4 linked regions of the Struthio camelus genome follow. The protein of the gene in region 4 interacts with the protein of the main gene of each other region in a pairwise test. Links are inferred from orthologs where the notes say so. Each region holds a gene or a part of one and is shown on either strand. Other genes may lie near its edges. The genes, in order: GABARAPL1, CCDC185, C4H4orf46 and KXD1.

Region 1 (7,665 bases), on a different chromosome or scaffold from region 4:
TTCAAAAATATCCCAGCAGCCCGTTAGTGCATTGTTCCTTTCTTTTCACAAGACTGTAAGTAACAATGGTACCCTTCCCCAACATGCCATTGCAAACCATCAGATGGAACAAAGGGATCTTTAAATCCCAAACTTGTGTTATTCAGATCTGGGCTTTCGCCATCTTCATCACGCAAAGAGGTACCTTCTTTAAACTCCTTACAGTATTATTTGTATGCATTTCAGCAACTTGAGCAGAGTCAGGACTGTTCAATCAGTTTGGGTGCAGTGACCACGCAAAAACAAGAAGCTGTAGAAAATAGGTAAATGAGATGAGAGTTCAGCGTAGACAATACAGAGTCCTTTCCTAAAGGAAAGGAAAACATATACACAATCAGCCATTGTTTGCTAGGAGTGACCAGCCCTGCACCCTCACCCAGGGCCAATGTGCCCATACTGGCTCTGGAGCTGCTACAGATTCAGTGCCAAGTGAAACTAGTGACCAGTCACAAGCGGTGCAGGGGAGGTGCCAAGGACTGGGGAACTATCCATGTATCTCAGACAGACAGCAAACAGAACAGAATTACAAGTGACTTCTGATACACTCCCTCTGGTTTAATAATGATTCAACCTACACTTTAGAAGTTTTCTGACAAGAGAGGCTTTGATATGCCTGAAACTACACTAAAGATTAAAAAAAGTCAGCCTCAGGAGCTACAAAAGGAAAAAAATATCCAGGGGGAGGTACTAATACAATAAATATTCAAGGAGATTCAGAGTTTCAAGCAGCTGACAGGAATAAACAGCAACTCCAGCAAGTTCCCAAGAGACATCCACCTGGATAACACCTCCAAGACACCTAGGGCAAACAATAGGGATATTTTTACTGTGAAGTTATTGAATTTTAGTCATTAGTGCAGATACACCCAAGTCAGTTTCACCTCCCAGTACTGCACTGCAAAGCTCCTAGGAGTGCTCCTGGAGCGCTGTGTTGTACAGCATGGGCTACAAAACCATCTGGGAACCTGCATAAATATTTTTATCTCCTGTTTATCTGGCTACAACACTGGCAATGCAATCTCTTTCAAAGTGAACCTATCTGCTCACATGATCTGCAGACACAGCAATGTGCTACAAGTTCAAACTGTTCAGACATTCTAGGTTAAAAGTACATTGTTTGGCCACTTTGTGGACCAGTTTGTGCTGGGCATCCAGTGTGGGAAAACCAGCGAACCTCATCTCCAATTCCTCCTTTTAGCACACAGACCTAGAACGTGGGGTTTGTCACATGCATATGGCTTGGCATTTTAATAGGAATTCAAAGTCAGATGATTACCTGCTTGTCACTTCTTCTGCATGTATCATCTTCCTGCTTGCTGTTGTGGCAGTGACGTTACTGTTATTATTGAATAAGTGGAGACAGTTGGGAATTCAGTGCCTGACAGGGAGGAAGCAGGAAGTGGGAGGAGTGAGTCTTGTGGCTGCACATCTAGGGCTGCATCTTCATGGCAGAAACAGTTCCGTAAGGAGATTTGTGATCCCAACACAGGATTTGTTGGGGAGGAAGAGCCACCTGGCAATGCTCTCACTGGCTATACCAGAGCAGGGAAGAACACCAAAGCTCCTCCCTGGTTTGTCAACAAAATTTCAAACAAGAGCCTTGTCCAACTGCTCTGTATATAGTCCTGTAGTGGGACACAGCAATTACAGCAGGACAACAGGAGAACTGATTTGTTAAAATGGACAGAATAGGTTGGCAGTCTGCGTGAAATAGGCTGGAAAAATTCCGTTCTCTTGTGTCCTTGAGGAAAAGGCATCTACACCATTACACACCTTCAATACACTTGCCAACTTTTGTGCTGCATGCAATTAGGAGGCAAGGAGGAGGACAAACACGGGTAGTACAGAAAGGTGCTGCGCCATGAAACTAGAATTTTCCCCAGGTGTAACCCCTGGTCTTTCTTCAGTCTAGGCCTTGCTATGGTACTGCACAAAAATGATCCCTTGTTTCTGACTCACCATTCTGAGATCCTCTGACACTACCTGCAGCCACGGGGAAGTATTCACATGTCTTGGGACAGACAGAAACAAGCTGATGATGCTTCCTGTACTAATAATGTGCATATGAACTAGTGAAGGCTGAGACACACTGATCTATGCCATTCCCACTGCACTGCAGTACCATTAAGAGGTGCTGGTACGTGCCTATTGGAATAGATTGTTGTGCTATGCAGAAAGTCACATTATACAGTGTGGAGCAGTAAAAACTTAGACACAAAAGCCTCTGCCAGAGTCCGTGAGGGGTACACGAACATCCGAAAGTAGATGTCTATATTCAGGAGAGAAAAATCACAACCCATGCCTATTTATCTCCGTTGACTCTAAAGGCAACTTAAGATGACAAGCTCAGCTGTATGCACCCATGCTGTTAAGTGTAGGTGAGATTTCTGATTCACTTTCTCATGCCAGACAAGAGTACCTGGAAACTGCCACCATCTGAACGTACCTGCATCAAAGAAAATTTATTTCCGCCACACCTATCTTACCCATATGCAAAATCAAGGAGATTAGGGTGCAACAGGGCTTGGAGAAAGAAAACTATCAAAGGACCTCTGAGTTCAGGCTCAGAGGCTGCCTGCTTTTGAAAGCAAAAGTGGATAGTATATGACACAACTCTCTACAAGGCAGAGGGGACAGACTAATATCCTGGATATGCTGTGGAAATTTGTAACAGGCTCCTTCCTAACCCTGGTGTCAGCATCTCAGTTGCACCCTGCAGGCAACTCAGGTGTGCATATTAGTAATATAGAGATACAGCCACCAGTAGTGTCTGAACTATGAGTTACTTGGGGCAACTAAAGGATTTATGTGAGTACCTCTAGAAAAAGACCAGAGTTTTATGCACCCTTGACTCTGTTTTTATCACTAAGGAACATCTTTGATCCAGCTACTGCTTACTCTTCAATTTCTTTCTTTTTTTTTGTTTTTTTGTGCTTCCAGAATCAAGCTGACTCTTCACTTTAGTCTGGATTTCTTCTGCATTGATCACGCGCTAGAAAGAGGGTGCCTGCAAAATAGCAACGTTTTTTCTTATCCTGGTTAATTCTGATGCAACACATTGGCAGAACGTTGAATGAGATATGGGGAACCCAGGTTCTCTCACTTATGCCACTGGTGTAGCCTTGGACACATCAAGCATTCAAGGCAGTTCATTGTCCTGCTCAGCACCTCCTACTTCAATTAAAATTACTACACAAATAAAAGATAATCCTTGAAAAAGTTCTGCTCCTCTGCATGAGGCATGAATTGAGAGACTTAGAACATTTTGATATGCTCCCATTCAGTTGTTCATTTTCCCCAGGATAGCAGCAATTAATTTTTGTACTGATTTGAGCATGGTGATCCATTCATTAGTACCTTCCTTTCTTCTAGTCACTAAATACTGTGAGCCTAACTGCCCCCCAAAAACCCAAAGATATTCCAAATATGTTATCTGTTGAGTAACTGGGCTAAAATTGCCCCACTGCTTTGGCTTGTTTGCAAACAGTTCACTTTAACTGTGTGCTGTTTGTAATGTGCCTCTGGTCAGGTGCATTACACATCACACTTTCCGCCCCTTATTATTTAACTGAAACTTCATAAACAGGAGAATAATCCAGACCCAATAATGACAATGTTAGTCACTAAAACTTGTATTTTTTTCCTCTTAGATCTGGCAGCCACTTAAATAGGTCAGTCTCGTCACCTCTGTTTTAAATAAGTGGAAGCAGAGGCATTCAAGCATTACTTGGGGAAACTGAGGCCTGGGGACATGCAGCAGCTGATCCAGGCCAGAGCCCTGCAAGCCATGCTCCACAGCCCCACTGCCCACCTTCACGGCCATCAAAGGGAAATTCTCCGAATTTGCCCTGTTCTTAAGATAGGTCGGGGGTTGTCCAAGTGCCAATGAATTACAGATCCGCTAGCTGCTGTGAGCCTTGCCGTGCAGCTCTTTTTGTGACAGCGCTCCCCGGGCTGTGTGCCTGCCCACTCTGCTCCCAGGGCAGGGAGCCCCCGGCCAGGGCAGCTGTCCCTTCATGGGCCTTGTACACCACGGTGTGTTAAACAGCACTGGCAAGGAGGGAGAAGCAGCATGGCTGCCTGCAACCCGCAGAGATGGATATCTCCGTTCATGCGGCTGCTCGGCTGTATTCATAACCCCTGAGTCATGCTGGAGATAGTGACACTGCTCAATTATAGGCTCATTTTGCCTTTGTATTGTGTTTGGTGGGGGGAGGGGGAATGAGGCGACAACCAGTACAGTACAGTAAAAAATATATATATATAATAATAACAATGATTAAAAAAAACCACAACCCTGCATGGCACGGAGTGTGACACAAGCCCTGCGCAAGAGAGGGAGCAAGAGCTGCAGCTGTCACCTGCTCCCAAGCGAAAGCAGGCCCCAACTCTGCCCGCTGCCTTGCACGGCGCTGACCCCTTGCCCCGCGCCCCGCGGCTGCCCGCGCTGCAGGGCGCGGACACCGCCGTGCCCTTGTCCTGCCGCACTGTTATGATTTTGCCGCATGCCGCCCTCCCCCCGCCAAGGCAGTGGTTTCGCCCGGGAGCCCTTTGTAGCGAGGGCGTCGCCCACGAGCTGATGGGGGGGTACCCTGCGCGCCCCCTACCCGCCGTGGGGCGCGGGCCAGCCCCTGCTCCCGCCCGCGGGAGCCTGGCGCTGCCGCGGGGGCGCCGGAGGGACGGGCCGGTAGAGACCGCCGTCGTCGGCCCCGCACGCTGCGGCAGCCGCTCCTCCTCCCCCCCCCCTCGGGTGCAGTGGAACCGTCTGGAATGACGGCAGAGGTGCCTCCCTGTGACGTCACAATGCCCGATTTGCCCCAGCGCTGTTTCTGTGTTCCAGGGCGGCCGCGTCCTGCCGCAGGTGGGCGCGGCGCGGCGCGGGGGTCGCAGCGGCCGCGCAAGCTCCGCACGGCTCCGTGGCCCGCTGCGTTGCGAAGTGCCCAGTCGTAGCTCACGAAGCGGCAGCAGCCCTCGGAGGGGCAGCTGACGCTTGGGCAGTACACCAGCATGAAGTTCCAGTACAAAGAAGACCATCCTTTCGAGTACAGGAAAAAGGAAGGGGAGAAAATCAGAAAGAAATATCCCGACAGAGTCCCTGTGAGTGCGGTGTGTGAATGTATACTCGGACAGCAGCAGGGGATTGCAAGATTGCTGCTTGCGGGGCTTGCCTTACATGTCATGCTGCCATTCTGCCTCTCTTTGTTCTCATTATCAATTGTTGTCCTTTTTTCCCCCCCCTTTATTAAAGGGAAAGCAAATTAGATTAGTAAGCATGATGTTTACCTTGCTGTTCTAAATCCAGCCTGCTTTTCTCTTTAGTGCAAACCTATGATTATTTTTTATGTTGGTCTCTATTAGCAGTAGGTATGAGGATGGCAGGGTGTAATATACCCTCCCTCTTTCAGGAATCTGCAGCAATTTGACAGCTCGAATGCTGCTAATCTTTCTATGGCAGCCTGTGTGCATGGGGCTGGGGGGTGGGGAAGGAGCTTATCATCTGCTCTGTGAAAATGGAGGAGAACAACGAGTTTACCATGTACTCTTCATAGAAAACTAGAGCTGTATCCATGTTGTCAGATATGTTCCCTTTATTTTTTATTTTACTTTCTTTTGGCCTGTCTTTTCAGTATAGTCTTGTTCTGTTCTTGTGCTTTACATGAGAGAAAAACGACACTAATTTCTTAGCCTTCTGCCCTCCTGTTTAACCTTCTTATGGAAAAAGCATCACTTAGGAAACAAGGTTTTGATCTCTTAGCCAAACTTTACTTCCTCCTCCTTAGGTCCCTTTGGAATGCCTGTGGAAGGCTTCTAGTTTTATAATTACTGGTAATAATTGGAAAAAAAGAAATGATATATCAAATTAATTGTGTGGGTTTTTTTTTCCTATTAAATGTTTTGCAAATGTTCTTTCTTTCCATCCCCACTGGAGAGATCTGTCCTAGATTTACTGTCCGGGGTACTGAACTGAGACTCCCCTGTGAATCTAAGCCTAAGGGAAAACAGTTATGCTACATGTTTTCCGGAGAGACCAGCACCATTTTGTATCTTAGAGTGGCCTACAGCTGGGCTTGTAAAAATGCTGGAAAGTCAGAATTTGGGTGCATTTGGCTGAGCTGCAAATTCAGGGACCCTTGGCCTAGCATAGCACGTTGAGAATACAGCTAGACAATGATGAAGTGGACACTCTTGCGAGTTTTAAGATGAGGACCACAGAAAATGCTCTAGGTCAGAAGTGAGATAAACTATAAACTGAAGATTAGCATGGCAGTTTGTGCTCCAGATCCTGAGAGATGTGTCCAGAAAAGCCATATGTGGGGAGCCAAGGACCAGACCTGGTCTGGCAAGAGGTAAACGAGATCAAGGTAGAGGGGCATGAGCAGAACTGTAGGGAAGAAACTGGGACCCAAAGAGCAAGGTGTGCTGCAGTTAAGGATAAATGAGAAAATCTGCATGGGGAGGCCCAGATGTGGATTATGAGGGGGAAGCCTGTTGAGAGAGCTGCATATGGAACAGATGAATGCAGCTGACAGGGTTCTTTGCATCACATGTCTCTGCCCTTCCTGACAGCAGGATCCTTGAAGACGACATCCCTTTGGCTGCCTACATGGTAGTGCCCTGATGCATCTCAGCGTTTTGCTGAGATTATAATGTTGGCACAGTCCCATGTTACCGCTGACACCACCCAGCAACAACAAATATGCAGATAATCTGTTGCTACACTTTGGATTTTCTTTGTCGGGGTAGGGGGGGAGGGGGTGTGTGCATGCATGGGTGCGTGAAGGTTTTAGTACTTCAGAAAGAGATACCTGTGTTACCAGGCAAACTAACTGCTGTTGATAATCAGTTTAGCAAAGCACCTTCTTTCCTGCTCTGCTTCTTTGCAAGAGGGAGACTTGTTAAGCTCAGTGATTATCTAATTTGAATGCTTCCTGGGGATTTAGAAGCCCCAGCATTCTCCCTTCTTCCTCACAGGCACGATATACCTTTGGATTTCACCACCATCTTCTTTTCCTTTATTATCTAACAACCAATTACGATCTATCCTGTTGGGTCAGGATGGGCATATCACTGCTGCTGGCTAACAGTTCTACGTGTCTGCAGTTTTGGTAATTGTGAAGAAAGAAAGGTTTCTTTTCATTGCAATTTATTGTGTTAGATAATGCCTTGTAGTATGTGTGGGTAAAAGAACCTGCAAAGTGCTATTGCTGTTGAGCCGACATCTATTCAGTGAGATCTTGAAACTATCCTTCCTTCACAGCATTGTCCTATGTCAATTGCCTCTGCATAGAAATACATATCCTATCACAACGTATCTCAGAGAGCTTGAATGACTTGTACTAATCGAGGTGCTTGAAAAATCAGGTTCTTGAAAAGGCAGTGATGGCCATACTTCTATTTTAAAAACAAATTTAAATTTTCAGGACTTTGGGCCATGTTGAAAGCATCCAAATGAGGCACAGTGAAGAGATGGCCAAGTTAGTATCTCTATGGTGAGGCATTCTTTGCAGATACTCACTTGGTGTAGATAGAGTAGACCTGGATTATTATGGCACTTTGCCCAGGCTAAAACAGGCCCATCATCATAACACAGGAAACGCCATCTGAACATGAGAAAATGCTTCTTCA
Region 2 (7,005 bases), on a different chromosome or scaffold from region 4:
TGATTCCACAATTTCACCATATAGTTTCCATACCAATTTGTAAGACTCCAGTGAATGCACAGATGGGTCACTTTAGATGGTCACAGATACGCGTAATTTCAACTAAAAGATCCCAGGTACACTCCAAGTACCTTTCATGTAGAGAGAACAACTAGAACCATTCTGACATTTGCAGCTCGAGGTGTAGCCAGCCTTGGAAATAGGGCTGAGCTGAAAGGGAGCCCCTGAGCCCTTGGGCAGGGGAGGTGGATGGGGAGCTGCAGGTGTGCCAGGCCAGGGCCATTAAGACCTCCTGGTGCTCTCAGGGTGCTGACAAAAATGAGCAGTGCATTTATGAGTTGCAGCAAGGTTAAGGTGAAACCGTTGTAGTGTAATACGATCCAGAGCTCTTGCCAAATCACAGAATGAATAAACTACAAATCATCTTTTTGGCACATAAATGGTTGCAATCTTTCTTTAAAGTTTTAAGAATACCTGCATTGTAACAGTCATCTAAAGCCATCTAGTCATATGCACGGCTATTCATCAGTTCTCTTACTTTTTGTCCCAGGCCATAAGATGTTGTGGGTATTCTTCTAGCTTTTCCTGAAGCAGATTCCTTATCTCTTAATATTTGATCACTCTTCTGATCTCGCCTTCTAATGGCTTCTTCTATTTCCTGTAGTCGACATTTTTCATCATCTTCAATTTTTTGCCTTTGAGAGTGATGGTTTCTTTCTTTTAAGCAGTTAATTTGCTTGCTGCGTTGTACTTTCTGTTGGATAGTTTTGGCCAGCATTTCTTGAGCTTGCTGAATTTTCATCTCAGCTATTTGCAGCAACATACTTTTACGTCTTCTCCTTTCTTCCTCTGTCTCTTTTGCTCTAAATTTGGCCATAACACTTCGTTTTTCTTCCTTTAGAGCTTTTTGTTTTGATTCCCTATTCCTTTCCTCCATCAGCTGATCAAGGATTTCTTTAGATCTTTGAAGTTTTTGCTCTATAGCGTGTCTCTTGCAAAGTTCATCAGCTTTGACTTGGTGATCAACTTGATCTTTCAGGCGTCTGTGTCTTGTCATTTCATACTGGTTCAACTCTTGTCTCTTCTTCTTCCTTTCAATTTCTTTTGAAAGCCTTTTCTCACAAGCCCGTGACATTTTGTCTCGGAGCAGATTATACTTCAAGTCTCTAGTATCCTGCTCCAGGATCTTTTTCTCTCTTAGCTGCTTTTCTTGACAATATTTCCTGTACTCAGCTTGCAGCTTTGATCTTTCAAGTTTTGCCTTGCGCTTGGTTTCTTCCTCCTGCGCCAGTCTCTTCCATTTATTCTCTCGCAACATCATTTCTTTCTGCCTGGCCTCCAAGAGTCGTTTCTCATCCAGCCTGCGTTTGGCCTTCCTTTGATCCTGGTCTCTCTGCCATCTCTTCAGGTTTTCCGCCATCAGCTGTTGCCTCTCCTCCCGTCTGGATCTGAGTTTCTTCTCCTGCCTTCTCACCTCATCCCAAACCTCAGAGGCCGGCAGCTGCCTCACCTTCGTGTCCTGCTCCTCCTGGCATCTGCACAGCGTCAGGGCACTCGCTGTCTTCTCCTTTTCAGGGATAAAATCGTACTTCTCGTCACCCAGACCGCGGAGCCTCTGGGGGGATGCGCCACTTCTTGGCCTCCGCTGGTAGTGGCCATCAGGGTAAAGGTTTTCCGCCTGCCCGTTGTCATCCTCACCGCTGCACCCCTCGGTGACGGTCTGCACCCGGTCCTGCAGGCTGCTGCTGCTCTCGCAGGCCTTGGGCCAAGCCCCGGCCTCAGCCCCCCTCTTCCCGGCCTTTCCGCTGACACTCTGCAGCTGGTCCAGGGAGAAGGAGGACGAGCAGGGGGAGGCCCCCGGGTGGTCGCAGCACCGCCGAGGCCCTGCTGCCCTGCGCCGGCCCCTGCCAGGCCCCGCCGAGGAGACGGTCGCAGGACGTGGTGCCCCTTGTCCCGGCCGTGGGCCCCGGCGGAGGCCGCCACGGGGCAGCATGGGGGCGGCAGGCAGGCGGGGACCACCGAGGCCGCTGCATCCTTCCCCGCCGGCCGCTGCCGGGCCGCGCAGGTGCCGGGTGCGGAGCGTCGCGCGCCGGTCCGCCATGTCCTGCCGGCAGCGGCGCAGGCCGCGGGGCGCCTCTGGGGCCCGCCCGCGCGCGCCGCCCCCGCCTTGTGGCCACCTCACGGCCACCTCGGCGTGGTGTCACAGTGGGGCAGTGTGGGCCCCGGCGGCGCCTGTGCTGCGGCTCGCTCTGGGGCCCGGCCCTGGCTGAAGCGGGCGGCGAGGCATGGGGGAGCCACCGGCAGGGCGGTGGGGCCAAAGGAGCTCGTGTAGGGGGTTTTCTTAGCTCTGTGCCCCAGATACGTCTCTGGAGCCGGGTATAAGGATGGGTTGGTACCGTGTAACTCTTAAAAGTGCTTTTTTGATGATGCTTTTTTGGTGGGTTCTTCACACGAAACACCAAACTTGCAGTCAGCCAGGGAGGACACCGCCGTAGCGGGGGAGAGTCACGGGTGGGACTGGACTTTTGGCCCTTCCACAGGGTCACCGCCTAAAGGCCTGGACTACTTCACCAGCGCTACAACCCCCTTCCCCGCCCCCAGCGTTGAAAACAGAAAGAGTGGGGTTGAGGAAAACGTGTTATTTAGGACAGTAAGACGAACCCCTTTGTCACACAGAGTGGCAAAGTATAGCATTCGTCTCGCAGGCGTACAATTGAAACAGATGGGTGGGCAGAGCTTAGAAGCGGAGGAAGCTAGCGAACTTTTTAGGCCCAAGGCCAATCTTAATATGGTGACTACATTCTTAATATACCTCTTTTAGAGGGACTGACTGAGGCGAGGTTTGTTTTACAACAGACAGCTCAAGGAGCCCATCCAACGTTACGGGAGAATCTTGTGGGGGTTTGTGAGCCTGGACCTAGTGTTAGTCACAGATGCTGTGAATGCTAGTGCTGCTTAAGAGCTGGACTTGAGGACCTGAAGAGGAATTTCAGTTTCTAAATCCCTTTGTGAATATAGCTTCTAGTTCTGCCAGCGTGATGAACACTTCTTCCAGCAAGGAGCTCTTGGACCAGTTGCTGAGTAAGGTCTCCAGATGGTTCAGCCCTATACCACAGAATGTCTCTTGGCTTCTTTGTTCCCTTTGGAGTCATACTACAGAGCGGCATGCTAGGGGGCTATGTTCTTTGCGGCTAATACCAATAAAATAGATGGCTGTGATTTAAATCAGCTGAAGCTCTTTTTAGTCTCAGCATGTGCGTTAGGCAGTACAATGATAAGTATTAATCCACCCTGGATGTTTTGAAGATGTAGATGGCTGTGAATAAGTCTTTTATCAATAATTAAGAGGCACAGTCCTTCTCAGAGACAGTTTTCTTTTAAGCTCCCAATGGAAGAAGCTGTATTTTTATCAGCCCTATAGATGACTTTTAATTGACTTTAACAACTGTGAGCACTTTATTTTCAGTATTACTGTAATGTAGTAATAAGTAAAAATCATTTTTAGTTAGTCTGCTATCTTCTGACAATCAATACATTGCATAAATTTTTTCAGCATATTTACTTTATTTCTTAGCTTTTTCAACACAAATTATGTTTGGTGGCTTCTTACTGGGCATTTTCTTAAACCTCTCTTTAAGAACTGTATGCCTTAAGTGAAGGTTTGGTTTATGTTTGCTTAGGTAATACTTCATTCTTTAAAATTAGACTCAGGAATCTTAATTATTTCACTACTCTGATACACTTATTTTGCACATGAAGTTTCTTGAATATGAGAATAACCCCCCCAAAACCTTGAATGAACAATAATGCATGCTCGTCATCCCACCTTGTGTATATCTGCCACTCTCCTGTATTGCAACAGATTGAATGTTTCATAATAAAAAGAGTTCTTATCCTCCTTTAAAGTGACAGAGATAATTTGGTCTTGGGATTATTATTTAAGTAGCTACTAAACATAATATACCTCAAAGCAGAGAGCACATGGAGAATGATGCAAATGAAAGCAGACGGCCTTCTCAAACTATTTGACTCTGAGTTCATAAAATGATTTATGAAAATGCGACTTATGGAGATGAATTACTGAAGGACCAGATGCATTAATTGTAAAAATTATGCCTGCGGAAATAAGGGCAAGAAAATAAAATTCTCCTACAAACCAAAGTACTACAAACATGCTGAAAATTGGAGCATCTTTATGCTAAAATATTCTACAGCATTCCTCGTAGAAAAACTATTTCAGGTAAATACCTAAAAAAATGAATCTATCAAGGATATTTAGGCAAATAGTATTAATATTGTTTCTAAGGGTGTCACAGATGCCATGAAGTAAAAAAAGTACTATTGTCCTCATCTTAGAGAGGAGGAACTGAAGAGAAAAAAATAGGAACACAGGGAATCTCTATTGAGCAAACAATTGAACCTGTCTTTTCTGACAGGTTGGCGCTAATCTATTCTTCCTCTCTAATATGCTGTCTACATCTGCATGCACTTGCAGTATAGTTTTGACATATATTGACGTAACTGAACTTGGAGTTGCTTATCATGCAAATCAATTACATTATCAGAGATGGCTCTTACCCAGAATTTTACAGTACTTAGCTTCCATTTCTTCATGTTGTGACAGGTGGCTGGCAAATTGGGCTTAAGAATGACTTAAGCTGTACATATTTTCTTTGCACAAGAGTTTTGTCTGAAATGATGGAGAATCAGTGTCTTACTGAGGAAACACCTTTAAAAAAGGTGAACATCAGCTCCTTGGTAGCTAACACAATTCAGAGAGGAAGCTGGTCTGACGTACAATGACGCCTGGCCATTTGTGAGAGAGCACAAAAGCTCCTCTGCATCTCTTTCTGGAGTTATGACATATGCTCCACTGGCGCTGCCAGACATTTAGGCCGGTTTACTGGTTGTATCGTTTCACTAAATTTACAACCCTACATATAATAGGCAAGAACATGGTATTTCAAGGTGGTATTATTACTGGGAATAATATATAATAATAATAACATTCATTAGGGCATATAAGTGCCGCTGTGTTGCGTATTTAGTCCCTCGGAGTATAAAAGGTAAAAGGCTTTATTACTAGTGATCAAAATGTATTTCTAAATGTATTTCTAAAAGTTCATTAAACTGCTGTCTTTGTAGTCTCCTTTTTTTGACGGCATCAGACTTTTGAAGTGCAGAATGATTAGTGCAGTCAGCCATACAATCAATCTTTTAAGTACTTGAATACCAAAATAACACTATAAATAAAATAGCCGTATAAATAAAAAACACTCAAATATTTTATTATTTCATTCCTTCTACCATGTTGACTAGGTAACTAGGGAGATTTAGTTTTTCTCTCACCTACCCATGACTTGCATCCATTTAAATGAATCTATCACTGAATAGCATTAGCAATATATGTATAGTAATATATATATAATATATAGAGCTGGAAAACTGTTTTATTGTGAACCACTGTCATTCTCTCTTACTCCTGCAGTTTCGTATAACTCTTAGCTGAGCATATTGCATGTTTGTTTTGTAGGGTCTGAAGTAGAGGTTGAGGGGTCATACTTTGGGTCACATTTAGCTGACCATAAAATTTCTTTATGAAAAATAGGCCACAGCAGGAATACATCTTTCACGCTACAGTCAGATGCAGACAGGAGGGCTAAAGGAGGTAAATGAATTAAGGACGTGGAAATACATTTTTTCTCTTCTTAGTGAAATACATTAAGCATAGGAAACAATAACCATCTGTTATGAGAAATGCTGGAGGTGAAAGGTTTCCAAGCTTCCTCCCGAGATAGAAGTTCAGGGTGGATCGCTCATGTCACATACAGTAAAGAACAGATAACTGCAAATGCAATCGAAGAAAACAAATATTTGACATCCTTATATTAAAAAAAAAACAAAAACAATTCTTCAGCTAGCTGGGATAGAAAGGCATCTCTCCATTGATTCTGACAGAGATTTACTTGTTTATACATGGCTTATCCTGAGAAATTATTTCTTTGATAATTACTGGGTGTAGGAGATATTACACATAGAGATGGAGCTCATCAATAGAATAGATATTTAGCCTTCCTCAAAATATTTACAGGTTGGATATTGGTTCAACTTATGTCAGAGAAGAAGCTAGCTTTAATCTTCAGGTCCTGATATCTGAGAAGTCTGAGTCTGCTATTATAAATGGTAGACAATAGCAAGCTTTCCTGTGTTAGCCTAGTTCATGGAAGAGAAGAAGCTGCCTACCAGAGGAAAATGAAACTTTCGCCCCTTGACGGTGAATGGACATGAACTGTGATAGCAGATGAGCTTATTGCTACTGCTTATGTTTGTTTTAATTAAGTTAGAAATTCTAAATGCCAAAAATAATCAAAATCCTGCAAGAGAAGATGGAAGGGCTTGTTGTAGCAGCAATTTCTGTTTTCTAGTCTGAGCAGGTCAGCCCACGTGAAGTTTGCCACTTTACCCATGTGTTTGCCATTAAAGCTGCTCCAAGAAAGCAGGAAGCATTCTTTAGGGAGTCCAGTAGGGTGCACTAAGAGGCTATTACACATGCAGCTAGTGGGAAATTGCACTGAGATCAAACAACTTGGGCATCAGTTTGTTTCTGTTGTTTTTTTTTTCTTTTAAAGGTGACTATATTAATTTGGAAAACAACAGTACCTTTCATGAATGATCAAAGCTGTCATGTAAGAAATTGCAGGAAACTTAACATATTCAAGCCATCACTGAGCAATATTGTCCTGCTTTCCTGAGAGAGGTGCTTTAAATTCAATTTCATTTTGAGAACACTCTACAATTGCAGTAGAACCATTCATAACATGATTGAGGTCAGCGATTTTATCTCAGAGTAGGTCCCACTAATCGCTTGGTTTCATATGTTATTGGTTGTGAGGAAGATTCTAATTATGTTTCTACCCTGTGAAGGACTGGTTAATACAAAGAAATCTCATCTCCTTTTATGATGTGTTCAGCCTAGCAGTTACTTTTGTTCTAAATTGGGCCTGG
Region 3 (7,959 bases), on a different chromosome or scaffold from region 4:
GAAATCACACCAAAGCTATCGAAGCCTGTTCTTTGTACAGACTCCTCTGAGGCATCAGTGACTACACAGTCAACCAGACTAAATTCATACACATAAACACATTATGAACCTTCACATACGTGGATTTACTGCTTTATAGCAATGAGGAAAATAACAAGGGAGGGGACACACTGACTCACCAGAACCAGCAGTCAAAGCAGGAAGAAAGTAGATCAATGTGTCTACTTGCAGGGAGAACTGATACAAAAATAATTTTTTCGTCTTGCAACAGTTCCTGACCTTTTGACAACTCATCCTTGATCAGGATGAAAAGTTAAGTCTCTTTTTATTCCTCCTCCACCTCTCAAACCAAGTGAGAGACTGACAAATAGAGGCCTATCAGTCTTAATAGTTGTCATGCCATCTAAGTTTTAATCACCTTGTGCATCAAATTGAATGCATTATGGTTAAAATAATTTAGGGAATGCAATCATTGAGCACTTGAGTAGTACTGTACTCCCCAGTGTTACAAGGTAAAATCATTTTACCTCACCTAAAACAATCATCTTTGTACATAGAAGAAGGTATAAGGACACAAACGGAGGCAATTTATTCACTTATTTACTGAAAAGAACATTTTCCACTACCAATTACTATGACTTCCTTAGTTCTCCTCTAATACCACACTCAGTCCAATGGCCTAGCAGCCCAAGAAAAAGAAATGCCTCTTCTGCATTGATGATCTTGAAGTTCTTTAAAAGAAAGTTAAAAGTTACTTCTAGTATTTGCACTTAACTTCTTAAGTATGTAAGAAGCTGAATTAAAACTTAGTGTGACTCACACTTTAACTGTTTACAGAATTTTGGATCATCTTGAAATCAAAATTTGTTGAGCATCTTGTTTCCACTACTGTATATTTTATTTCAATAAAGGATGATCTGCTGATCAAAGTGACTTCTTTTCCAAGTTGTTTAGGGTACTGGAAAAAATAGCTCAGTGAATTCCTGCAATGTGGATTGCCCTTTTAATTATCATAGAAGCTCAGCATTCTCAATGACAATAACTGCTTTTTATAAGGAATGTTAAGGACACCTGTCCTTACCACTACTTCTGTTTTCACTTGAAGTTGATTATGGATGTATTCAGTATTTTTTTGTTTCCTACCAGTACCTTAAGAATATTAGTTAGTTCCTAATTTGGTGTAACATCTTTATTCTTTTGATAACAAAACTACGGTTTGTCTTTTAAAAATCCTCCTACCAGTGACAATTAGGCTTGCTACAAGTCACGGTACAGCCACATTCTCCTGAAGCTTCCCCTTGCATTTCAGCATTATTTTTTCACATTACTCTGGTAAGGGATACAGAAGTTTCAATGCAACTATTTATTACAGATTAGTGATCTTTCAGACCAAAAGGTCCTGTTTATAGTACAAACTAGATTAATTAATTAGTTACTGCTTGAGGCAGGACATACAATAGGCCAAAAACAGAACAAGCTGCTGCCCCAGAGATGAGAGAATACAGTTTACAAACACTTATTCTAACTGAAGGAAGCTTGTATTAATAATTCCAAATAATCCATCCTATCAGTAAGCAACACAGTTAAATTTCTACCAAACATATATCTAAGGTCAATGCATAAGGCACTTTGTATTTATTACAAAAAGTCTGGCGTAACATGTTTCCAATTATCAAACTGTTTGTAAAACAAATGCATCTTTATAGAAATATATTGCAATACTGCCTAAAATAGTAAGATTTGGGATAGGGTGGCTTATCTATAGCTCTTAAATAAGACTTCACTAGCCATATTATCCCATCCTCAACCTGAAGAAAAAGCATGCACAAAGAAAAATTAGTTTGACAAGTTTCCCTGGAGCTAAGAGGGCTTCTTCTAGCACAGTCAAAGTTCTTAAAAGGATGGCTGACTATATTTTCATGGGCTACCACTCCCCCCCACAGCTGGTGAGTTCTAGATGTACCTTACAAGTTAACTTTGTCTCCATTATATTAGCAAAAAATGAAAGTTCTTTCACATATGAGATCACCTGAGCTGCAAAGGAGGAGTCCAAGAGTTACAACTGATAACTCCCCTGAACAAAGTTATTTTACTCAGAAACTTATACATAGTTTTGGTACACATACAAGTATTTTCCAAAGAACTCTCTTCTAGCTCAAAATGAGTTGTTGATGAAAAAATAAACTCACCATGTGAAATCGCTAAAAAAGTTGTTTTAAAAAAAAAACTAGGCACAGTGTGCAGTAACACATTCAAGTCTAATATAAGCAGACAACGTGGTATGATGCCAATCAAGCTCTACTGTCACAAGGCACGGTCAGCAAAAGGTAAATACTGTGGGATGACTCCCCTCTCAACATCCCTCATCAGGCAGCAGAAGTTCCCACTTTTTCCATGACGGCCCAGCTACTCGCTGGGTTTCAGGGAATCATACCCCTCCTTCAGCAGGTCCCGCCATGTCTTAAGAAATCTGGCATTTTCAGAACATTTGGTCGCAAGCTCTTCCACCTGGGCTGATACAGCAGACGTCGCCTCCAGGATCTTTGTCAGCGAGAAGGCAGCCTAGAGGACAGAGCGAGAGGTTGGGGGTCAGCAATACGCGCCGAGACGCACCCGGAAAGGGCTCCCGGCTTGACAACTCGCTGGCGCCCCGCTTTCCCAGTGCCGCGGCAGCGGGGAGGCCTCGGCCGGAGCCGGGCAGGAGCGAGGAGGCCGGGCTGCAGGGACCGGAGCCGCCGTTACCGCCGCCCGGGCCCCCTTCCCAGCGCTTCCCGCCGCGGCGTCACTCACGTCGCCGATCTGCATCTCCACCTCCTCCAGCAGCTCCTGCGGGTCGCCAGCGAGCTGCTCCGGCGGCCGCGCCCCCCTGCTCCAGCTGCGGCTCCTCCTGGGCCCGGCGGCGGGCGGGCCCTCCGGGAGCGCTGTGGGCTGCAGCGGTCCTGCCTCGGCCATGCTCCGCGCCGCTGCCGCCCGGCCCGCCCAACGGCTCCGCGCGCTGCAACGCTCGCCCCGCCCCGCCCCGCCCCGCCCCAACGGCTCCGGGGAAAGGCTCGCGGGTATCCCGGCAGGCACTGCGGCGAGACCAGGCAGGGCGTGCGACGGGGGAACGGGGCGGTGCTGCACAGCGCCGCTTGGAATTATGGGCGCCGCGCTGCACGCCGGGAACGGTAGTCTTTCTTCCCGTGGTGCCCGCCTGGGTTGTTAGCTAGCGCTTGGTCTTGTTTGTAGCGCACACGGCGCAAAAAATGTGTAAACCAGCGCGTCGCCATCTCCATGTGCCTGCGTTTAAATATCAGACCAGGGCAAGCGTTCCTCCGCGGGCCGTGGTGGCCAGGCGCATGCGTGGTATGTCCCGCCGGCGCCTCGCGCGGGGAGCCCTGGGAGCTGTAGTCCTGGCAGCGCGGGTGGGGCGGGACGGGGCGTGTGTCGCCCGGCAGGCAGCCGAGTGCGCAGGCGCGGCGGGGCCGAGGGGAGCCGGGGTGGGGTGGGCGCGGTGGAGAGGAGGTGCGAGCGCTGAGGGGAGAGTGGAGAGCTGCCGCCGTCATGCTGCCGCCTGTCTGCCCGTCCTCCAGCCGAGGTAACGTGCCGGCTCGCGGCGGGGCAGCGGGCCGCGGCGGGGCACGGCGACCTGGGGCGGGGGCGGCAGCTGGCGCGGAATTAGGGCAAAGGTCGGCGCGGCCGCGGCGCCACCGGCCGCTCCGGGCCGCGGCGCCTGCGCGGGGGTGGGGGGCGCCCCACCGGCATCGCCTGTGGGGAGGTTTCGGGGGCGCTGGGGGGCGGCTGTCCCGCAGCAGCTGCTCCCTCCTCGTCGGAGCGGTCTCTGCGGTCTCTGCTGGTTTAAATGTGCTTCCGAGGGTGAAACTACGCAGTAAGCACCTGCAAGGGTTGGGCTACCGGTGTATTTTGTTAACGTGCTGTGTCTGGTGTTAAAATGTAACGCGGCGCTGTAAAGAGCTGTCTGTTTTGCAGCGATCTTTGCTAGGTGTAGCGTGTTTTAAAGGGTAAGGTAATTGGATGTACGTCGTTATCGAGGTAATAATCGTAGAAGTAATGCCTTGGCGGCGGTTGTCAAAGAACTTCGTGGGAGCGAGTTTTTGCTCTTTTCTTAGCGATTGTTTGCACCGCTTCGTACTCACTGTTCATTGCTGCACGTATGCGAACTGCCAAGTCCGTAAGCTCTCAGCTCTGCAGTAACACAGTCGCCCAGGTTCCAGGTCGTTGGGTGAAAAGAGTATGTCTGTTCAGGTGCCGTTGCAGAGTTTGGACCTGCCTTTGTGTTTATTAAACATATTCCTAAGTCAATTTCACTTTTTATTTTTGCCAAGCAGCAGTACTGTGTAACTCATAGTGCTATCGGTCTTGCTCAAATAAAATAGCTCAGAAATGAAGTTATGGTATTGTGTTTTAATGTATATTGGTGTAGTTATTATCCTACGTATAAAACACATTGCTTGTTCTCAGATCCATTATTTGAAGCTGTCCAGCTTACACAGCTTTACCTAGCTGTGCAGGTGAAGGGTACTTGTGAGTCGTGATAAGAATTACTTGTTACTTATAGTAATAATGTTTATGTTATGTTTGTTATGTGCAAAATTGCTGTTAACCTAAAAGTATTATCTATGTCCGTTTATTATTACCTTGCATATGGAGACCAGTACCCCGACTATCACTATGTAATTATGATGGAGGATGTTTGTGGTGGCCTTGTTAATCACCGTTGGCAATGAAACACATCAGCGAACATCAGTATGTTGGTGGTTTTGCTTATGTGGTTTTGCAGAAATACTGTGTTTCAAATATAGTATTCTCCCTCTCTGCCCTGAAATTAGACTAAGGGAATCCATAATGGAAGGGAAAATACCACTTAGTGTGCGTTACTTGACAAATCTTGTAACTATAACTAGTTTTGGTGCTACACTTACTAGCTCTCTGAGAACAGATCACATACAGCTCCAAAACATGATTTTTTTTTTGTGAAAGACGGAAATTAGAACAAGCATGTAACATGCCCTTTTGTCTTATTTTGCTTATTTGAGACTTAAGAGAATGCATAATTTGTTGTGGCAACTATTAATGTTTCTGTAGCAAAGGTAAAGATTGCGTGTCTTTATTACCTGTATCTATTTCTAGCCTTGCTAAAGTATATTTGTTTAAGTCTTGGCTTTTACTGTAGATGGTGACATTTATTTTAGATCAGCTGCTTAGAATCAGCAGCCCAAGCTGTGTGTCTGAACATGTGTTGAGATTGCAAAAGGGATGAACTTGTATGTCCTCTCTCTACAGTTGTTTAGTCCTTTTTAATGATGTCTTCAATAAATCTTTTGATGTTCAAAATGACGTAGGAACTTAGAATGTCTTTTTCCTTTGTACGTGCATGCTGTGGTATGCCAGCTGTCAGAATTGGTTGGCTGGTGTACTTATTCCTTGAGTGCTATTCACTTAAAGGGAAAGCTCTCTATTTTTTATTTATTTTTTAAATTTAAAATTACACATGCACAGTCCTAGTTGCTGAATAACTAAAAATCTATTTATACGCTTCCTCATCTTCATTTGACCTGGCAGCCTTTTAAGGGGCTGTCGTATTTGTTGTGCCATTGTGTCTCTGAAATATAGAAAACTTTGGAAAGCTAATGATTTGGTGAATCTGTTTTTTGTTTTTGCAGCACGTCTGTGTTTTCATGTTTTAAAGTTGTTAAAGAGAGACTGCCTTCCATCACTGCATATTGCAGCATGTGCATCTACTACCTCTGTGCCTCGTATAACTACGCATTATACTATTCATCCTCGGGACAAAGACAAACGATGGGAAGGTAAGTGAAAACATGTGTTTTAAAAGCATCTTTTTATTGTTATTACTCAATTTTAACAACACTGAAGTGTGTTGCCGATTTTTTCTTTTTACAGAAATTATATTCTGTTAAGTACAGTACTAATATCCCAAATGAAATTTTACGGTTGCTATCTCACAACGATTGTGTTGAGCACTATAAAATCAGGTCAGATTTGACTGGATTCTAGTTACGTCAAAAAAGTTTATAAATTCTTTTTACTTGGGTGACTATCACAACAAGATTGAATTCAGTCAGGTCTGTATTTTTTGGATTTTTCAGTTGCTCTCGCCATGAAAGTTTGTGACAAAATAAGAGGAATATATATCTCTGGCCATTCCAGTCTATATATTCAGCAATTTTAATGTCTTCAATTCCATAACAGTAGCTGATTAACTAGAGTAAAATAAAATAACTTGTTCTGACTAAAGATTTTTTTTCTTTTCTTTCTCTCTTCCTAGAGTTTCACCAAGTATCTTTGATACAGCTAGGCAACCAGGCTCTTATTTTTAACATTGCTGATACTTACCTACAGTGTATACAGATTGAATATGTTTTTATGGTATATCTTCTTACAACTTACAAAGAGTTGATTGTACATTGACAAAATGAATACTAATGTCCTTCTACCCTCTTCCAAGTACTGAAGTGAGCATTCTGTTGAATATTTGGCCTTCTTTTATGCAAGGTGATGTTACTGCGTTACCTGGTAGCAGTATCGCAAAGCAAGATTTAGTGAGAGAGAGGGCAGGAGAAACTGGAGATCCATTTGTTTTATCATCTGTTGTCCTATTGAAGGAGTAAACATGGAAAGATTTGCAGAGGAAGCTGATGTTGTCATAGTCGGAGGAGGCCCTGCGGGTCTTTCTGCAGCTATTCGACTCAAACAGTTAGCCACTGAGCATGGCAAAGAAGTACGTGTTTGTCTGGTGGAAAAAGCCGCTCAGATTGGTGCACATACACTTTCTGGTGCTTGTCTTGAGCCACGGTCCTTAGAAGAACTTTTTCCGGACTGGAAGGAGCGGGGGGTATGTATGAACCTGTAAACATTGCAGTTCATCTCTAAGGTAATAAACTCTGTATCCAACTCATTCTTTTCTACCTTCGTTCCATTTAAAATGTGGTGACTTACCAGAAAAACGCTCTGTCTTGTTTTTAGTCTGTTTTCCTTTAGCGCATCAATGCTAATTTTTTATGTCTAAACAGATACACTGTGGCCTTTGCTTTTCTTTATAGGGTAGTGCACATACAAAGTACGTCTAGTGCATCCTGGGATGCACTAGATTTGCTGCATTTGTGCAGAATCCAACTCCCGTGCACAAGCCATAAGATAATGGTTTCTTTGCAATGTCAAACTTGCTACTTCTAGGCAGTCGTTCTGCATGTGCTCAGAGAGTGATGTACAATACACTGATTTATGTGCAGACATGGTGATATGATGGAAGCCTAACATGCTTGTAGGAGAGAGGGTAACAGGCAGCAAGCTGTCATCTCTGCGAGAACAACCCATCTGACTTGCAGCCAGCCCTCTTAATATCACCTAGGAGCTGCAGGAGGTGGGCTGTTGACTAGATGGACTGTTGTTTTAGTGGGCTGAACGTGACCTGCAAGTTGAGTTGCCTTCTTTAGAAATCTCTGGAATATTGGTGTAGTACAAGCATATGTACAAACTTGGAGGACTTTATACAGTTTTGTTTCCTCAGTAGCTGTGGTCATTCTTGCCTGATCGTTATTTTACATACTATTTTACATTTTACGTATTTTACATATTTAACTACTGTTTTTTTTTGTCTTGGGGAGTGCTGACAGCTACTGTATGTTATGATGGTTAAGTGTGATATGATTTGCAGCATAGCCAAGCTCCAGCAAAAGACCTCCAGGTTTTTGCATACAATTTCTGGTTTTTTGCAGAGACCAAGCAAGCTCAGGCTTGTGGCTGTGTAACTCACTCTTCCTGCATAATCTTCTCTAGTCAAGAAGTTCAAAATAATGCTTTCCAGAGCAGGTATAATGTATCTGCACGGTTTCTATAAATTTAACAGACTGTAATACAAAATAATGCGTGTGTGCAAGAGTATGAGTTGTGGTGTCTAGGGGAACGCTGATCACTTCATTAGGTTACTTTTATCTT
Region 4 (7,334 bases):
AAATTACGTTCCCAAGAAAAACACCCACACCCCGAGCTGTGGAGAGCGCTCTTCTGTTCCAAAGAGCCAAAGTCTAAATCAAACGTAGGGGTTTGCTGCTCTCCTGAACACACAAATGAGAAAGGACAAAAGGCGTTTCAAATCCATGTTTTACTTATTTGCCTGTATCAGGTTGCAGGGTATGCACTACGGTGGCAGTTTAGAGGCAGAAGGGGGTCTCTTCTTCACTCAGCCGTCACCTCTCAGCCTTCACTTCCCTCTTCCCAAAACAGTAATGGCCAAGGAAACACACAAATATAAATACAGGACAGGAAGTTCTCCACAGGCCAGGCAGCTGAGCTGGCTGTGGCTGTACAGTATCAGTACACCTAGTCCAGGTCATTGGCAGCTTCTTCATCTGTTAGACTCTGTCCGTTCACAGCCGGTGAATCGTACTGGCCTTGTGATAAATCCTCAAAATCCTGACTCATGGTTGGAGAGATAATGTCAGGGCTTGTGTCACAAGACTCCGTGCTCTGCTCAGAGGTAGCAATGGTGGTTGTCGTGCTTTTTGGAACAGGGTCAAAATCATCATCGTCATCTAGAATCGGAGATTCGTGGATGTCTGAAAGGGAAGACGCAGCAGTTAGTTTTACTGCTTTGGCCATCTGTGACAACAATACACAGCCCGTGTAACACCAGGTATGAGAGACGCTCTAACATAAGCACAGCAAAGAGTTTGCTCCCTTCTAATTCAAAGGTTTGACTGCTTGTAACAGTAATCAATAGATGGCTACTAATTTAGGTGACATCAGTTATTTGTGGCTTTGTAACCTCTTAAAAGCATATTTAAGAGAATAAAAAAAGCTCTCCAAACTTTTCACTGCAGCTACCATGAGCTGGCACATGCCTGGATGTCTCATTATTTCTTTCTTTAGAGGGGTCTCAACCCCAGAAAGTTGAGCCATGTGTCCTTAGGAAAAGGACTCCTCACGCTGAAAGCAAGCTGACATAAAAGCTGCAAGTCAGATTTAATAACAAAGAATCACTCACTGCTGAAGGCTTCTGGGTACTGTTTAGCTAGCTTCCCTTTCAGCGTCCTGCAAGAGCAGAGGAGAAAAAGAGAGCCAGGCTTACGCACGAGCTGACAAATCCCCCCCAGCGGCGGGCTGGTGAGTCCTCAGCACAGCTGGCCTCGGGGGTCGCTCCAGAGCTGAACCGCATCCCTCATCCTCTGACGCCCGGCTGCCAGACCAGCAGGCGCCTCCCGCTTTAGTTAGCTCTTTGGGGAACGTTGCGTCTTCCCCGTCTGTTCCCCAGGAAGCCCAGCACTGTGCCAAGAGGCTCCCTGCCCTCGGAGTCAAAACTTCCAGCGTTAGCCAGAGCTCCCACAGCTTCCCTGTCAGGAAACCGGGTACTTCTGCAAACCCCAAGTTTCGTAACCCTCCTGAGCAGCGCGAGCGCTGCGTCCCTCCCTGCTGACGCAGAGGGAGTGCAGAGAGTCACTGGCCCAGCTGCAAAGCCGGGATTCCTAAATTGGGATTCCTAAAGCTCCGAGCTCAGCAACCAGTGCCTCTCCCCACACCCACGTGTTTGCTCTGCTATGTGTTTTTCTCTCTCCACCTGTTTTTGGTTTCTGTGACGGTCCAAGATCCTTCATACAGGGGTGTCACATTTTAATACCCCTCTCTGCAGACAGCAGCGCTCCGTGATCTCTCTAGGTGAAGAGAGACCCTTTGGTTTCTGCATCTTCTCTCTTCCCCCACCACCCCCGGGGGACGTTCCCAGCCCCTTGACCCTGGCCCCACCTGATTCTTCGGAAGATGCTATCCAGGTCCTTTTTCATTTCAACGAGCGTCTTCGTGTGGTGCAAGAACCGCTCGTTCATCTGCTGCATGCGGACACTGGACAGGTTATTGAAGTTGAGCAGCATCTCGTTGGTCTTCTCGAATCGATCCAACCTGCTCAGAGCGAAAATGGGGCTCTGAAGATGCCTGGCGAGACCGCCCCCCCCCCCCGCCCAGCACGGCTCGCTGCCAGGGCCGTGCCCGGAGCCGGGGCACTCGTGAGCGCGGGGTTGGGTCCCCAGGGGAGACCGGTCACCCTGGGGCGACTCACATGTTCTTCTGGGCCTGGATGATGGCGTTGACGTCCTCGGCGTTGACCATGCCCATCACCCGGCCGCAGAACACCCGCGAGGCCGTGGGCTCCATCGCGCCCGCCGCCGCCTGCGGGACCGGCACGGGTTCGACTCGCCTCCCGCTCCCGGTAACAGAGACACCCCCCCCCCCCAACTGCATCCTGGCCCTGGTAACCGAGTTCCCCCCTGCAACTGCATCCCACTCCCGGTAATGGAGGACCCGCCTCCTGCATCCCAGCCCCGGTAACGGAGACCCCCCCCCCAGCCTGTCTTATCCCGCTCCCGGTAATGGAGCCCCTCCCCCCCCAACTGCATCCCAGCCCCGGTAACGGAGACCCCCCCCCACAGCCTGTCTTATCCCGCTCCCGGTAATGGAGCCCCCCCCCCCCCAACTGCATCCCAGCCCCGGTAACAGAGACCCCCCCCGCCCGCCCGCCCGCCATATCCCGGCCCCCGTTAGGGAAACACCCCCTCGCTCTGCCGTTTCTCGGCCCCGGTAACGGAGCCTCCCCCGGCCCCACCGAATCCCTCCCGTGACGGTGCCCTTCCTTCCTCCGTTAACGGAACCTCCCGCCGTCCTGTTCCCGGTATTGGAGCCGCCCCCCCCCCACCCGGTAACAGGGTCCCTCCCCCTCCCGTTAAAGGGGCTACTCGGGCCCGGTGCCTCCCAGCGGCGGCGCAGCGCGGCCCGGTAACGGCTGGGGCCTCCCGGCGGCGGCGGCGGCCCGCGCACCTGGGGGAGCCCGTCCCCGCGGCTTCACATGGCGGGGAGGCACCGGCGGCGGCACCGGCGGCGCGCGCGCTCGCTCGCCTCGCTTCCGGGACGCGGGTCACGCAGCGCGCGACGCCGTGACGTCAGCGCGCCCTTGCGTCACGGCGCCCGGCCGGAAGCGGCGGCCGCCGGCCCGCGGGAGGGGAGAAGCGGGGCCTCCCCGCGCCCGGTAAGGCCCATCCCTCCCCCTCTCCTCTCCCTCCCCGCTGGTGCCGGGGCCGCGGAGACCCGCGACGGGCGGGCCCGGACTTGCTACCGGCGTATAAATAACCCCGGGGCGGGGAGCGCGAGAGGCCTCCGGGGCCCGCTCGGGGCGCCGGCAGCTGCCCCTGCGCCCGGGGCTGCCCCGCGGCCCCTTTAAGGCGGTGCGGTGACGAGCTCTCGCTCCGCCCAATGGCGTTGGCGCTGGCGCGGCGCGGCCGTCCAATGGGAGCGGCGGGGCGGGGCCGGCGGCAGCTGACTCGCGGGCCAGGTGGGAGCGGCGGGGGGCGCGCGGCGGCGGCGGCCGTTGCTAGGGGGAGTCCTCGGCGCGTGACGGCGACGGTGACGTGGGGGCGCGCGCGCGCGCCCGCCCGGCCGGGGCGGGGGGAGAGCACGTGGCCGGCCGGCGGGGGTCTCCGGGGGTCGCGTCGGGCGGCTGCGCCCGCTGCCGAGTCTCCGCCGGTGCCCGGCGTCGCCGGGGCGTCTCCTACCCGCCCGTGCCCGGCTCCAGCGCCGCTTACAGGCTGCAGCGGGGCCGGCGAAGCGCCCGGGAAGGTGGCGGCAGCAGCAGCCGCCAGGCCTCGCTGCCGCGGAGGCCCTCGCCTCCCTGGGGAAGCCGGACTTCGGCCCTGCCGGGGCGCTCAGGCCTTTGGCCTGGACCACGTTCCGGTTGTCCAGCTCGCCGAGAGCAGCGTCGCCCGGGGCGGCCCTTGGGGCTGCCGCTCAGGCTCTCGCGCTTGCCTGCTGCGCAGCCTCCAGCTGCCGGGCCAGCGGGGAGACCCGCTTGCCCCGCACGCAGGTGTCTCAATACACAGAAACAGGCCAGAGCACCTGGCAGCTCGGCTCAGCCTGTCAGTGCATCCCGGCAGAGCAGGGGAGGGTCCCCCAAAACCTTACGGGAAAGGAAAGCGTGATCTGCTATTGCTGGCTGCTCTCTTTGGGGGCTGAGGTGCGAGGTCCGAATGAGCGAGCGACGGCTGCAGCTCTCCATCGGCGCAGGGTTGGTGGTATCTGTCCTGTTCCTAGTCACCGCTTGCAGTGTTCTGTCCAGGCTGGGGGAGGGCTGGCATTTGCGTTCATCCCCTTGGCAAACAAAGGACCAACCTCTTGAATGTCTTTCCCCTTTAGCTTGCTGTTCTCCCTGCTCTGCGGCAATGGCTTCCAGCGGGGAGGAGCAGAGCAGCAGCTCCCCGGACTGGGCGGACAGCGGCACGGACCTGTCCTGCCCGGAGCTCGCTGGAGCCAGCACATCCCCGCTTGACAGCGGGGAGGATTTTGAGGTCTTGGAAGATGATGATGATGACTTGAGCGAGCTGCCCCCGCTGGAGGACATGGGCCGGGTGAGGACCCCAGCGAAGGACTCCCAGTCCTCAGAGCAGGCCCCAGGGGAAGCAGCTGAGGACCCTCAGGAATGGCTCGATGTCTTGGGTAAGAGCCTACAGAGGAAACTTCTGCATCTTCTGCTCCTGTCCAAGGCGCTGAGCTGGCTCACGGAGCTGAACGGGCTTCTTCAGGGGAGGTCGGAGGAGGTGGGCTTCCCCACAGCTCTTCAGGCACTCTGGGAGCAGCAGCGCAGGAAGGACTGGACAGGCAGCTCTGCGCCTGAGCCGGTGCCAGGGGCCGAGGCTGCTGCTGGGCTCCGCCGTGGTTTGTGGGGATCCGTCGCTTAGGGTGGAGGTGGTGGGATGGTCGACGGGGTGACATGGTGGCGCTTCTCGCAGCAGAAAGGCCGGCTGGTGCGGGGGATCGCTGCTGGAAACCGGGGGACGTGGCTCGGAGCCAGGCCGTCTCCCTTTCCCCTCCCCGTGCAGGGCCCTGCCGCTGCGGTGGGCTGACGTGCCTCCGCCTTCTCCTTGCCCAGGGAGCGGCTTGCTCAAGAAGAAGACCCTGGTGCCGGGTCAGGGGGTGGAAAGCCGGCCACGCAAGGGCCAGGACGTCACTGTCCGCCTGAAGGCCACGCTGGAGGACGGCAGCGTGGTGGAGGAGAACCCCAGCCTCACCTTCACGCTGGGAGACTGCGATGTCTTGCAGGTAAGAGCCGGGAGGCCGAGCCCTGCGGCCAGGCTGCGGAGGAGAGCACAGTTAGAGGTGCAGCACTGGGCTCCTGTGCCTGCTCCCTCTAGCCTGGGCCTCCTGCTGACTGGGGATGGTGGGGGGTTTAACTCAGCACCCTGTTTCCAGACCACGTAAAGAAACGAATGTGGGTGCTGCAGGCTGATTGCCCAGTTCTGCCCTGCCGCTGTCCCTGGTTTATCGCTGTGTTGTTCTTACCGCGCTGGGCGGCACCTCGCTGCCCCGGGCCTGGGGCAGTAGGGGCGGCTGGCAGGGTCTGGAGTCGGCGACATCCCCAGCTGCGCAGTTCGTCTGCCAGTGGGAAGCAGCCGCTTGGCTTCCCTCTCTGGAGGGGCAGGACCTTTGCTCACCTCCTTCCACAAAATTGGTCTCTGTAGGCTCTGGACTTGTGTGTGCAGCTCCTGGAAATGGGAGAAACAGCCTTGATCATGTCAGATGCAAAGTACTGCTACGGCCCCCAGGGCAGGTGAGTGGGGAAGGGCAGACCGGAGGCGCTTGGAGCAGCCTGCGGCTTTGGTGAGATGCAAGTAGTGCTAAATCCCCTAAATCCCCATGGCCCAGCCTGGCTGGGGGAACTGGCAGAGGGGGCAGCCGTCAGCCAGGCCCTCGCTTTGCAAAAGCCCTCAGAAGTGCCCTCCTTGATGCAGGAGCCCTGATATCCCACCCAACGCAGCCCTCCTCCTGGAGGTGGAGCTGCTGGAGGCTCGGGACGCGCCGGACCTAGAGCTGCTCAACGGGAAGGAGAAGATAGCACTGGCCAACCGCAAGAGAGAGCGCGGCAACTTCTACTACCAGCAGGCAGACTACGTGCTGGCCATCAACTCCTACGACATCGCCCTCAAGGTCATCGACTCCAGCTCAAAAGGTATCGGCAGGCCTGCCCAGGGAGGAGGGCTGGCCGGGCTCCTGCCTTCCTGGCGTAACTGGGCTCTGGGATCCTTGCAGTCAACTTCAGCCCCGAGGAGGAGGCCGAGCTGCTAGATGTGAAGGTGAAATGTCTCAACAACCTGGCAGCCTCTCAGCTCAAACTGGATCATTACGAGGCAGCCCTGAAGTCCTGTAATCTCGTCTTGGAGCACCAGCCAGGGAACATCAAGGCCCTCTTCCGAAAGGGCAAGGTGAGACTGGGTGCACGGCGGGCTCTGCCTTCCACTCTCCACAGCCCGGCCACGGCAGGACAGAGGGCAGGGGTGAGGGATGGACCCCGAGTGCCCTGCTCAGCTTTGTGTCTCGCCTTCCAGGTCCTGGCCCAGCAGGGGGAATACAGAGAGGCCATCCCCATCTTAAAGGCGGCTTTGAAACTGGAGCCTTCGAACAAGGTAGGCTGCCCTGAGCGCTGCTAGCGATCCTGTTGAGCTGTGCTTTGCAGGGCTCTCCTCTTGGCCATGCAAAACTGCAAACCGTGGTGCTCCTGTGTAAGGGCTGGATATCCCGGCATGGTGCCCTGCGTGCTAGCACCCACGGTACAATGTCCGAGCTTGTCTGAGCTGGTGGGGCCCTTATCTCTGGGCTGTGATACTCTCTCTTTGCCCTTTGGTCCTTGCGGCAGCAGGACTCCCTGCCAACCCATCCGTAGCTCAGCAAGCCTGGGCGTAGGGTCCTGGCTACCCCAGCTTTGCGGGGCGGCTCCAGCGTGTTGTGTTGTTGCTGTTGGAGGTGGAGCACAGCCACGTCCTCGGAGTCACTTGCGGCAGCCCAGAGCATGATTCACTGGGCTGTGGGAGCAGCCCCAGAAGCCCTGGACCTCAGTCCAGCGCCCAGGCCAGCACAAGGCGTGAGCGATCCCTGGGTCAGGAATTTCCGGTCAGTTAATGATCAGCTGCTGGGCTGGAGCCTGGGGAGAAAGAAATCGAAAGCCCTGCCAGAACCAGGGAATGGCCCCAGCCAGCTGGGGGAGGACGCGGAGGGAGGTGCTGCCTGCGCGAGCTCGAGGCAGGGTGCTCAGCTGTACGGACAGGCATCAGTCCCGGATTGGGCTTGTTTTATCTGCCTTTTTCTTGGGCATTTCACGAGAACATCATTATTAGCATCATGTTTTCCAGTCTCTAAAGGCTGTGAGTAGGATGGGACCCTGGGAAACTAGGTGCTCTGTGGTTTAAAAGCATGCGAGACCCCCTGTCCCAGAGAGCTCATGGTCTGGGAGCACCCACAGGGTGCCACAGGGAAGGC

Evidence for each region.
Region 1: the proteins of KXD1 (region 4) and GABARAPL1 interact in binary tests that used the Homo sapiens proteins (3 or more experiments, as listed by UniProt). The two-hybrid records come from large-scale screens. The link is inferred for Struthio camelus from reciprocal best matches to the Homo sapiens genes KXD1 and GABARAPL1.
Region 2: the proteins of KXD1 (region 4) and CCDC185 interact in a two-hybrid assay, tested with the Homo sapiens proteins (2 studies listed by BioGRID and IntAct). The two-hybrid records come from large-scale screens. The link is inferred for Struthio camelus from reciprocal best matches to the Homo sapiens genes KXD1 and CCDC185.
Region 3: the proteins of KXD1 (region 4) and C4H4orf46 interact in binary tests that used the Homo sapiens proteins (3 or more experiments, as listed by UniProt). The two-hybrid records come from large-scale screens. The link is inferred for Struthio camelus from reciprocal best matches to the Homo sapiens genes KXD1 and C4orf46.

What each region holds. Positions count from the first base shown.
Region 1 is NC_090942.1:89,400,628-89,408,292, forward strand, and holds the start of GABARAPL1 (gamma-aminobutyric acid receptor-associated protein-like 1), read left to right. Parts: upstream 1-4,653; 5' UTR 4,654-5,046; coding exon 5,047-5,136; intron 5,137-7,665. UniProt on the Homo sapiens protein: Ubiquitin-like modifier that increases cell-surface expression of kappa-type opioid receptor through facilitating anterograde intracellular trafficking of the receptor. Involved in formation of autophagosomal vacuoles.
Region 2 is NC_090944.1:67,114,835-67,121,839, forward strand, and holds CCDC185 (coiled-coil domain-containing protein 185), read right to left. Parts: upstream 2,102-7,005; coding exon 503-2,101; downstream 1-502.
Region 3 is NC_090945.1:41,088,423-41,096,381, forward strand, and holds the start of C4H4orf46 (renal cancer differentiation gene 1 protein), read right to left. Parts: upstream 3,016-7,959; 5' UTR 2,953-3,015; coding exon 2,791-2,952; intron 2,563-2,790; coding exon 2,407-2,562; 3' UTR 97-2,406; coding exon of another isoform or gene 1-96. Other genes in the region: RXFP1 (relaxin receptor 1), read left to right, coding at 1-96; ETFDH (electron transfer flavoprotein-ubiquinone oxidoreductase, mitochondrial), read left to right, coding at 3,544-3,577, 5,664-5,810, 6,627-6,856.
Region 4 is NC_090967.1:5,912,073-5,919,406, reverse strand, and holds KXD1 (kxDL motif-containing protein 1), read right to left. Parts: upstream 3,012-7,334; 5' UTR 2,853-3,011; intron 2,208-2,852; 5' UTR 2,193-2,207; coding exon 2,098-2,192; intron 1,941-2,097; coding exon 1,788-1,940; intron 1,080-1,787; coding exon 1,033-1,079; intron 605-1,032; coding exon 369-604; 3' UTR 136-368; downstream 1-135. Other genes in the region: peptidyl-prolyl cis-trans isomerase FKBP8, read left to right, coding at 3,285-3,363, 4,221-4,520, 4,954-5,123, 5,543-5,631, 5,813-6,030, 6,111-6,283, 6,407-6,484.